2 linked regions of the Saccharomyces cerevisiae S288C genome follow. The protein of the gene in region 1 binds, or shares a complex with, the protein of each later gene. Each region holds a gene or a part of one and is shown on either strand. Other genes may lie near its edges. A codon is read from its position in the direction of its gene.

What was found.
Region 2: the proteins of RAD53 (region 1) and RAD9 are in contact, whole or in part, in an NMR structure (PDB 1K2N), measured with the Saccharomyces cerevisiae proteins. Residues at the interface, in NP_015172.1 of Saccharomyces cerevisiae: Arg605 (codon at 1,442), Asn616 (codon at 1,409), Arg617 (codon at 1,406), Leu618 (codon at 1,403), Ser619 (codon at 1,400), Arg620 (codon at 1,397), Thr654 (codon at 1,295), Asn655 (codon at 1,292), Ile681 (codon at 1,214), Trp682 (codon at 1,211), Asp683 (codon at 1,208); in NP_010503.1 of Saccharomyces cerevisiae: Val600 (codon at 3,884), Glu601 (codon at 3,887), Leu602 (codon at 3,890), Thr603 (codon at 3,893), Gln604 (codon at 3,896), Glu605 (codon at 3,899), Leu606 (codon at 3,902).

What each region holds. Positions count from the first base shown.
Region 1 is NC_001148.4:260,939-265,796, forward strand, and holds RAD53 (serine/threonine/tyrosine protein kinase RAD53), read right to left. Parts: upstream 3,255-4,858; coding exon 789-3,254; downstream 1-788. Other genes in the region: YPL152W-A (uncharacterized protein), read left to right, coding at 3,664-3,762; peptidylprolyl isomerase RRD2, read left to right, coding at 4,090-4,858. UniProt on the Saccharomyces cerevisiae protein: Controls S-phase checkpoint as well as G1 and G2 DNA damage checkpoints. Phosphorylates proteins on serine, threonine, and tyrosine. Prevents entry into anaphase and mitotic exit after DNA damage via regulation of the Polo kinase CDC5.
Region 2 is NC_001136.10:898,988-905,566, reverse strand, and holds RAD9 (chromatin-binding protein RAD9), read left to right. Parts: upstream 1-2,086; coding exon 2,087-6,016; downstream 6,017-6,579. Other genes in the region: MFB1 (Mfb1p), read left to right, coding at 1-112; septin SPR28, read left to right, coding at 515-1,786; DNA-binding transcription factor ADR1, read right to left, coding at 6,561-6,579. UniProt on the Saccharomyces cerevisiae protein: Essential for cell cycle arrest at the G2 stage following DNA damage by X-irradiation or inactivation of DNA ligase.

The sequences.
Region 1 (4,858 bases):
TTGGTTTTTGTTTGAATTTTATTTGGATTAAATACTAGGTCACTAGGCTTTTTTTTTTTCTTTTCTTATAGAATTCTAATAGAAAAAACTTTTTATGAATACAGTAGGGTGAGATATACTTTTTGTTATTCTTCCCTTACGTGGTAGGCTTCTCAAATAAAAATAGAAAAGACCACTAAAATTTGATTATAAAGGCTTCGCTCAAAAAAGAAGAAGGTGGAATGAATAAATAGCAGCGAATTACCCAAACTTCTTTACTCTGTTCCCTTAACCAGTTGATAAGAGGTTACGAAGTACGGAAGTATGGCTTTTTATATAAATCCTAAAAAGGGCCGCCTCCGCCCCTTAATCCATCGACACCCGCAAATGAAATATAGTACCCGGAAGGCATAAGACGGGTTACAGCCTCTCCATAGATTCAATAACCGCTTTTGGTTATAGAAATAATCAGACCTCAGCAAATACAATTGAGGAGCTCAAGATATTGAAAACGGATTAACAAACTTTTTAAAATTATTTATGAGCTTGTTGTACCACATCAAGCAGGATTATGTTTTTTTCAGAACTTCTTTTTCTGATTCAAAAATTCATTAAGCATAACTAAAACTGAAAATCAAAACTTATTAATATACAAAAATCTATATATTTCAAAATGTAAATCGTATCAAAACGTCACTCTATATGTAATAAAAACCCAAAAAGTTATGAATAGATGAATTCTGAGTATTGGTATCTACCATCTTCTCTCTTAAAAAGGGGCAGCATTTTCTATGGGTATTTGTCCTTGGTTACGAAAATTGCAAATTCTCGGGGCCTTTTGAGGTTTGGTCCAATTTTGCCCTTTTAACCTTCTTACTAGGATCAATTTGTGATTGCGATAAACTTACCGAATGTATTCTCTTCAAAATGTTCCCCGTATTCGCATTAATCGGTGACTCTACCAAGTCGTTTAGTACCGAATTATTGCCGTTATTATTTGTATCGCTAACTGGCGGCTTCTTAGCCGACATTGATGAAGAAGAAGCCGAGGGTTGATTTGCACGTTGAGCTGCCATCATCTGGGTTAACTTTTTCACCAAATCTTTTTCTTCGGCTGTTTGCTTAAGTACTACTCTTTGTTCTTGTAACATACCTAATCCCTCGTTAAACAGACCTGTAGTATCGTTAATTTCCACTTTAAAGCCAATGACAAATTTATTGTTTTTATCCCAAATGATCTTGATTTCATCTCCGTCTTGTAAAAGGAATTTCGTACCCTGTATCATGCGGTTATTATTTAAATAGCTCACGTTAGTTCCGGTGTGGCAATACCAAATATCATCTAAACCTTGTGCCGGAGATTCATACATGCTTTTGCCTACAGCATGCCTCTTTTTGAAAATGAAGCAATGAACTCGAGACAACCTATTGTCTTCAATTTTACAATTGCAATCCTCGGATCTACCAATGAAAAATGGATTCACACCTTGCTGAATCTCCAGGCTTTCTTGAATAATGCTGTCAGGCAATGGTTTTAAAGTTAAAAACCTACCATTACCCTTTTTCTTTGAGCTCTTGACATTCTCAGTATTATTGGAATGTAAAAGTTTTTGTTCTCTAGTTTCTGCTTCAATGCTTTTGGGCTGTGTATATCGAATAGGGGCGTGTGCGGGTATTTTAAATCCTTGAATTTTTCCATCTTGGTCTTCCTGATCCTGTTCTTGAAGTTGTTGCTCCATTTGTAATTTCCTTTGCGCTTTGACAAATTCGTATTGAGCATCGTCCATATTTTCTAATAATTTCTGCTGCGACAACGATTGTGATAAGGATATTTGTGAAAAATCACCATATGATTGTGAGCCCAATGGACTCATCTTGATCCAGGGATGATTCAAGGCTTTTGCAGCTGTCGACCTATTATTTGGATCCACCTGTAACAATGAATCTATGAAATCTCTTGCTTCTTCAGATATCCGGAAATCTTTGAGGGGCCCTTCATGATATGAGCCTCTTCCAATCTGTTTATATAATTGGTCCTGTGTGCTACCACTAAAAGGTAAGTGGCCCGTTAGGATAACATACACAAGACATCCCATTGACCACATATCCACTAACGAAGAGTACTCATTCCTTTCTTCGTATTCATCAGGAGATACGGATGTATCTTTACCTCTGATGACTTCAGGTGCCACATATGCCAAAGTGCCACAGAAGGTTTTCATAAAAGACCCATTTCCTTGTACTTTTGCCAGACCAAAGTCGGTTATCTTTACCAATACAGGATCGTCTTGTTCAATAAGAATATTATCGGGCTTTAGGTCACGATGGCTGATGCCCATAGAGTGAATGTATTTTATTGCTGTGAGTATCTGCCTGGATATCTCCCTCCCAGCATCTTCTCCAACCGCACCATGAGCAGCAACAAAATCCATTAAGTCACCACCAGAAACGAACTCCATCACCATATAATAACTCTCAGTATCTTCATAAAATCCTTTCAATCGTACTATCCTTGGATGATTGAGCTTTTGCAATACTTCTAACTCTCTTGTCACACCATCCATATTGCCTATTACTTTGCGTTTACTTATAATCTTCACCGCGAATGTTTTCCCAGTAGTTCTTTCAATGGCTTTCTTTACTGTGGCAAATGCACCCTGGCCCACCACTTCGTCAATAATCGAAAAATCCTTAAAAATACCAGTCTTGTTGGCCACCATTGATGATGCAGTAGATGATGTAAGACCAGGAGAAGCTATTTTAGAGGTATTTTTCAGGTTAGATCTTATGCGATCAACTTTGTTCTGCTCGAGGCACTGCTTAAATTTGTCGTTTATGAAAATGACCAGAGATAAAATATCTGATTCCACGCCTACACCAACGGTTATTTCATCACCTTGAGACAGTAACTGATTGCTGTTCTTCTCGACTTTTTGCCCATTTAACCAGGTCCCATTAGTGGAAATGTCATTCAATAAAAGGTTACCGTCTTCTCCTAGTAGTATTTGGAAATGCTTATTTGACAGTCTTGAAATGTTTCCTAAATGATAGTCACAGGCTGGGTTTCTACCAAATGTCCAAACTTTCTTTATGGATCGTTTTTCCTTAAGCACTTGTGAAATATCAGCTGACAAATCTCGGATGGGAATTTGACCCGTGGTACAAATGACCCTGCACACAATGTTTTCGCCGATCTGTTCTTGAGAAAACTTCTCAATCAAAAACCTTTGAGTAGCCTGCGTGGATTGCTGTGTGGGTTGTGTAATATTTTCCATTTTTAGTTGATGTTGTGTAACACTATCTTTTCTCACTATTCTCTCTTTTAAAGCTTAAGAAAATCGAATGCATATACAAAATTAGTTTGTCTTCCAATAATCTCTACCGTCCTTTTCTGCTTTCTTACCTTTTCTTGATCAGAGATTTCAAAATGGTAACTTTGGTACCCTTTATCTTCTCAACCTGTACCTTTATTCTATAAATGTTTTCATTTCCAAGTCTACCCACGGTGATGATTTTTCTGCCAATTTTACGCGTCACTCCCGTTGCCGTATCAACGCGTCCACACCACCTCACCCTCGAAATGAAAATAAATATGTTAATAGATGCACGTTTCATTGACATCTGTGACAAACACTTTCCGGCTTAATTAAAAGGAAGCAGGCTATTAATGCACCAACCAAACAAATGATGGTTCACCTCACGCTGAAATCTCATCTAATAAAGGAAGAATTACTTTGGCATGCTTTATCTCCGTCCTATAGTTGCCGATACCACGGTAGATAATACAGTATCATTCTAAAAGTACCATTTAGGTAGGTGCTGAGCGAACCAATAAGTAAGTTTTTGTTTTTTCTCAGTGTTTGCTTTGAATTTACATTGAAATACGTTGTTTTGGACGTACTACAATAGCCGCCATAATAGATTTTCGGGTAACTTTTACACTCTTCCCTCTCTTTCACGTGAGTAAGCACAGAATAAAATCCTAACGGATGTGATAGAACAAAAGGGATATCAATGACAAGAGAGAGGTACTTTATGTTAGTCGCCTGTGCAGAAAGAACAGTCCATAAACAACAATCCGTAAAGAACAATATAAATATTTAGAAAAAGATGTTGCCAGAAAAGAGACTATTGACTCCAGACGATATGAAACTATGGGAAGAATCCCCAACAAGAGCTCATTTCACTAAATTTATTATAGATTTGGCTGAATCTGTCAAAGGACATGAGAATTCCCAGTACAAAGAACCAATATCGGAGTCAATAAACAGTATGATGAACTTGCTTTCGCAAATAAAAGATATCACTCAGAAGCACCCAGTAATAAAGGATGCAGATAGCTCGAGATTTGGTAAGGTTGAGTTTAGGGACTTTTATGACGAAGTTTCACGGAATTCCAGGAAGATCTTACGTTCCGAATTTCCCTCTCTCACAGATGAGCAGTTGGAACAATTATCGATTTATCTAGATGAATCATGGGGAAATAAAAGAAGAATTGATTATGGTTCAGGTCATGAATTAAATTTCATGTGTTTACTTTATGGACTCTATAGTTATGGAATATTCAATCTTTCAAACGATTCAACTAACCTCGTGCTGAAAGTTTTTATAGAATACCTTAAAATAATGAGGATACTAGAAACTAAATATTGGCTTGAGCCTGCGGGCTCTCATGGTGTTTGGGGATTAGATGATTATCATTTCCTTCCATTTCTATTTGGTGCCTTCCAATTAACCACCCACAAGCACTTAAAGCCGATATCAATTCACAATAATGAGCTCGTAGAAATGTTCGCTCATCGGTACTTATATTTTGGTTGTATCGCTTTTATTAATAAGGTCAAGTCATCCGCCTCCTTGAGATGGCATTCTCCTATGC
Region 2 (6,579 bases), on another chromosome or scaffold:
AGACGGTAATAAGATATGCTATCGCAAAATCGAATTGGATAACCCTAGTGGGTCGAATACGAATGATCATGTAATCAAACGGCTTGACGCTAATACCGATTTTAATATATAACAGAAAACGCCTCAAACCGACTTTGCTTGGAAGAGTTTTCTCTGAATTAGCAACGGAACTTCGAAATGGTTTTAGACAAGCATGCATGGTATGTAGAAACAGTTAAAGAGCGCCGCTACCATTTGCACAGATGTACATATAAATAAATGACTTATTTTTTATATTCTATCAATAATAAGACAATTTGTGGTTGCCTTTAGAAATTTCGTGGCTTTTTTTCATATATTCTAACTTCAATAAAGTTTTTTTGATGCGAAATTTGATCGCTCATATTAAGGACGCCTGAAAAAGACATGCGTCTACATTTTGTGTCATTCCCATAAGAATAGTAAGAACAGGCATTTTTATAAATCGATACAAAAAAAGAGCTACTATACGTACATAAAGTCAGTAAATAATCAAATGTTCCCAATGAAAGATCACTCAGCTCTTGAACAACATACTCTCAGCAGAGATGAGTTAAGACGTCGCAAGGGTTACAAGAAAGGACTGCAGTTGTCAATTTTGTTACTTGGAGAAAAAGGCAGCGGCAAATCAACGTTTTTAAACAATCTGTGCGGTCAGGATATATCGCTTTCTGATGGGGATTATGATGATGATGATGATAAAGTGACAAATAATGTAACACCAGAAAATGGAAACGCCATCGAAGATATAGATCCTGGATATAAAACAGCCCATTTGAGTCCTGGGCTGAAGCTTGTCACCAGAAGAGTGTATTTGAACGATGAACTAGGCGTACCCATAACATTAGATATCATATTGTTTCCAGGCTGCGGTGACAATGTCGACAATTCACAAAGCTCTGTTGTTATAAAAAACTACTTAGACCAACAGTTTGCAAATGTTTTAAAAGAAGAGGTCAGAATAAAGAGAAACACAAAAGAAACTGATGGGAGGCCTCATGTTTGTTTATACTTTCTGAAGAGTACTCCAAGAGGAGTCAAAAAATTTGATATTGAGTTAATGAAAACGATTTGTGATAAAGTTAATTTAATTCCCATTATTCCAAAAGCCGATGGTCTCACAGAAACTGAATTAAATTTACACAAAGACATTGTGCGCCAAGAAATCTCTCAGAACAATATACGTGTTTTTGATTTTAAAAGTGACACCCTAGGCGAAACATTAGCTCTGTACGATATGGACATCGATTCCAGTTCAGCAAAATCCAAATACGATAATGACACGAAGATCAAGGAAATATCGCCATTTGCCATTGTTTGCAGCAAAACTTTTAATAAAAATTCGGAAAATAGGGTTGAGCATATCAGAACGTACGAATGGGGTAGCTTGGTGGTCGAAGACCAAAACACCTCCGATTTTATATACTTAAAAGCAATACTGTTAGGTTCTCACCTTCAGGAATTAAAAGATGTAACAAACAACGTATTGTATGAAAATTATAGGGCTAAAGTGTTAACTGAGAAGAAAAACAACTATGATATTCCAAACTATAGCTATATCGACGAAACCTCAAGGGGAAGTGTCAGCAATGTTTCCACCAGAAGAAATAGTGCAAGTAGAACACTTGGGAATCCAGATACAAACGATGAAAATGCTTATCAAATACACAAAGAAATAGACGAAAAAAACAGAATTATTGAAGACTATCAAAGGAAGATTGATTTATTGGAGAAAATGTTGGCAGCTCCCCATCAAAATAAGGTCTAAATAAATATACGGCCTTGTTAGCGTTAGATACATATGAAATAAAATTTTATTGCTTTTTCAAGTGCACTAAAGTATAAGGCAAAATTTTTTTAATCTATAATATACTTTCTCGATGTGTCTCTATATAACCTTGTGTCTTTCTTATTACTGGCACGGCTTTGAATTTTCAGAGTGCAGTTCTGATTAAACACGCGAGGATTTTTGTTCGTGGATATTTGCAACGATGAGCAATGTGAAGTGAGCAAGATAGAGAAACGCCATAGAAAAGAGCATAGTGAGAAAATCTTCAACATCAGGGCTATGTCAGGCCAGTTAGTTCAATGGAAAAGCTCTCCAGATCGAGTCACCCAAAGCGCTATAAAGGAAGCACTGCATTCTCCCTTGGCTGATGGCGACATGAACGAAATGAATGTTCCCGTTGATCCGTTGGAAAACAAGGTAAATAGCACAAACATAATCGAAGGAAGTCCCAAAGCAAATCCAAATCCTGTCAAGTTTATGAATACAAGTGAGATATTTCAAAAATCTCTGGGATTACTTGACGAGAGTCCAAGACATGATGATGAGTTAAATATTGAAGTAGGAGATAATGATCGACCAAATGCTAACATATTGCATAATGAAAGGACTCCTGACCTTGACCGAATTGCTAACTTTTTCAAAAGCAATCGAACCCCTGGTAAAGAAAATCTTTTGACCAAATATCAAAGCTCCGATCTGGAAGACACTCCTCTGATGTTAAGAAAAAAAATGACTTTTCAAACTCCAACTGATCCATTGGAACAGAAAACCTTCAAAAAGTTGAAGTCAGATACTGGGTTTTGCTATTATGGAGAGCAGAATGATGGAGAAGAAAATGCGTCATTAGAAGTTACAGAGGCGGATGCCACTTTTGTACAGATGGCTGAACGTTCTGCTGATAATTATGACTGTGCATTGGAAGGAATTGTTACACCTAAAAGATATAAAGACGAATTAAGTAAAAGTGGAGGAATGCAAGATGAACGAGTTCAAAAAACTCAAATCATGATATCAGCAGAATCACCTAATTCGATAAGCTCTTATGACAAGAACAAAATTACCGGGAATGGCCGGACCACAAGAAATGTAAACAAGGTTTTTAACAATAACGAAGATAACATAGGAGCTATCGAGGAAAAAAATCCAGTAAAAAAGAAAAGTGAGAACTATTCATCAGATGATCTCAGAGAACGGAACAATCAAATAATACAAAGTAATGAATCAGAGGAGATTAACGAATTGGAAAAGAATCTGAATGTTTCGGGTAGAGAGAATGACGTGAACAATTTAGATATCGATATTAATAGTGCTGTGTCTGGCACCCCTTCACGCAACAATGCGGAAGAAGAAATGTATTCCAGTGAGAGTGTAAACAATCGGGAACCATCCAAGAAGTGGATATTCCGATACTCAAAAGACAAAACGGAAAATAATAGCAATAGATCTACGCAAATAGTCAATAATCCAAGAACACAGGAAATGCCTTTAGATAGTATTTCAATCGATACGCAACCCTTATCTAAAAGTTTCAATACCGAAACAAATAATGAATTAGAGACACAGATAATTGTTTCATCGCTTTCCCAAGGCATATCTGCTCAGAAGGGACCTGTTTTTCATTCTACTGGCCAGACAGAAGAAATAAAAACCCAAATAATAAATTCTCCTGAACAAAATGCTTTGAATGCAACCTTTGAAACTCCCGTTACTCTTTCTCGGATTAATTTTGAACCCATATTGGAAGTTCCTGAGACTAGTTCACCATCTAAGAATACGATGTCAAAACCCTCGAATTCTTCACCTATTCCGAAGGAAAAAGATACATTTAATATACACGAGAGAGAAGTAGAGACAAACAATGTTTTTTCAAACGATATACAAAATTCTTCAAATGCAGCTACCAGAGATGACATTATCATAGCCGGTTCATCTGATTTCAACGAACAAAAGGAAATAACCGATAGAATATACTTACAACTTTCAGGAAAGCAAATATCTGATTCAGGAAGTGATGAAACAGAACGTATGTCCCCAAATGAGCTTGATACGAAAAAGGAAAGTACAATCATGAGCGAGGTTGAACTAACCCAAGAACTGCCTGAAGTTGAAGAGCAGCAAGATCTTCAAACGTCTCCAAAAAAGCTGGTAGTCGAGGAAGAAACTTTAATGGAGATAAAAAAAAGCAAGGGGAACTCACTTCAGCTTCATGATGATAATAAAGAATGCAATTCAGATAAACAAGATGGCACAGAGTCTTTGGATGTAGCTTTGATTGAACACGAAAGCAAAGGACAGAGCTCAGAACTTCAGAAAAACCTCATGCAATTATTTCCAAGTGAGTCACAGGAGATTATTCAGAACCGAAGAACAATAAAGCGACGTCAAAAAGATACAATAGAGATCGGTGAAGAGGAGGAGAACAGAAGCACTAAGACATCACCGACAAAACACCTCAAAAGAAATTCAGATTTGGATGCTGCTTCTATCAAAAGGGAACCGTCTTGCAGCATTACCATACAAACAGGGGAGACAGGTTCGGGCAAAGACTCTAAAGAACAGTCTTACGTGTTTCCTGAAGGTATTAGAACGGCAGATAATAGTTTCTTATCGAAAGACGACATAATTTTTGGAAATGCGGTATGGTGTCAGTATACGTGGAATTACAAATTTTATCCGGGTATTTTATTGGAAGTTGACACTAATCAAGATGGCTGTTGGATTTATTTCGAAACAGGAAGATCGCTAACCAAAGATGAGGACATCTACTACTTAGATATTAGAATAGGGGATGCTGTTACCTTTGATGGAAATGAGTACGTAGTCGTTGGTCTAGAATGTCGTAGCCATGATCTCAACATAATAAGATGTATTCGAGGATATGATACGGTTCATTTGAAAAAAAAAAATGCAAGCGGATTGTTGGGGAAAAGGACGTTAATTAAAGCACTAAGCTCGATCAGTCTTGACCTAAGCGAGTGGGCTAAAAGAGCGAAGATCATATTAGAAGATAATGAGAAAAATAAAGGCGACGCGTATAGGTACTTGAGACATCCCATTAGGGGAAGGAAATCAATGACCAATGTTCTGTCTCCGAAGAAACATACTGATGACGAAAAGGACATAAATACGCATACTGAAGTGTACAATAACGAAATAGAATCGAGCTCCGAAAAGAAGGAAATTGTTAAAAAGGATTCTAGAGACGCATTAGCTGAACATGCAGGAGCGCCAAGCCTGCTTTTTTCTTCTGGTGAAATCAGAACAGGGAATGTATTTGATAAATGTATTTTTGTTTTGACAAGCCTATTCGAAAATAGAGAGGAACTTCGACAGACCATTGAATCGCAAGGCGGCACTGTAATTGAGTCAGGATTTTCCACTTTATTTAACTTCACTCATCCGCTAGCTAAATCTTTAGTCAATAAAGGTAATACAGATAATATTCGAGAATTGGCCTTGAAGCTAGCCTGGAAACCTCATTCCCTATTTGCAGACTGCAGATTTGCTTGCCTAATCACAAAACGGCATTTAAGAAGCTTAAAGTACTTAGAAACTTTGGCGTTGGGGTGGCCTACACTACACTGGAAATTCATAAGTGCATGCATTGAAAAGAAAAGAATAGTACCACATTTAATATACCAATACCTATTACCTTCGGGTGAAAGTTTTCGGTTATCGTTAGATTCTCCATCAAAGGGAGGAATCATTAAATCCAACAATATTTTTTCATTTTATACACAATTCTTACGCGGATCTAATTTAAGAGATCAGATATGTGGAGTGAAGAAAATGTTAAATGACTACATTGTTATTGTTTGGGGTAGATCTGAGTTGGACAGTTTTGTCAAATTTGCTTTTGCATGTTTGAGCGCAGGTAGAATGCTTACAATTGATTTACCCAATATTGATGTAGATGATACAGAGCCATTGTTAAATGCCTTAGATTCTTTAGTACCCAGAATAGGATCAGAATTATCTAATCGAAAGTTAAAGTTTCTCATATATGCTAACGAAAATAATGGTAAATCTCAGATGAAGCTTCTCGAAAGATTGAGAAGTCAAATATCACTGAAATTTAAGAAATTTAATTACATATTTCACACTGAATCTAAAGAATGGCTAATTCAGACAATAATTAACGAGGACACTGGTTTTCACGATGATATTACGGACAATGATATATACAACACTATTTCTGAGGTTAGATGAAATTATAAAAATATATAAACTCATAATTGATAGAAAGGGACGATTAAATAAAAAAAAATTTAGAGATTCTTAATTAAGTCTAAGAACATCCTCCCACACGCCAGGAGTGGTTAATGTTCAAGATTGGTATTAGTTATACACGGTAACCAACAACGTTGGTAAGGTCTTTTTCTTCTATACATGAATTTTAAGATCAAGCATATATTTTAGGCTTGCATCTTGTAATGAACTAACTTTCATAAATAGCTTTTCTTTTTTGTATGAGGTATAAGATGAAAAATGTTAAACATGATACAGGATTTAATATAAAATGGACCAAAATAAGGAGCAATAACGAGATTCACCCCAATGGGTGAGATGAGAAACGCCAAGGTAGTGAAATATTTTTGTGCAACAATTTCAAAGATAAGATCGGTGTTCTCCCGCAGTAGTCCACTTCAGTCGCATGCATGGCTGTTTGATGAGAAATAAAATGAGATATTCAAAATCTCATCAGAAAGAGTTGAGTACTGGGACGACACATATCAGCAACGAGACATAATCGTCAACTGTTTCCCTTTAGA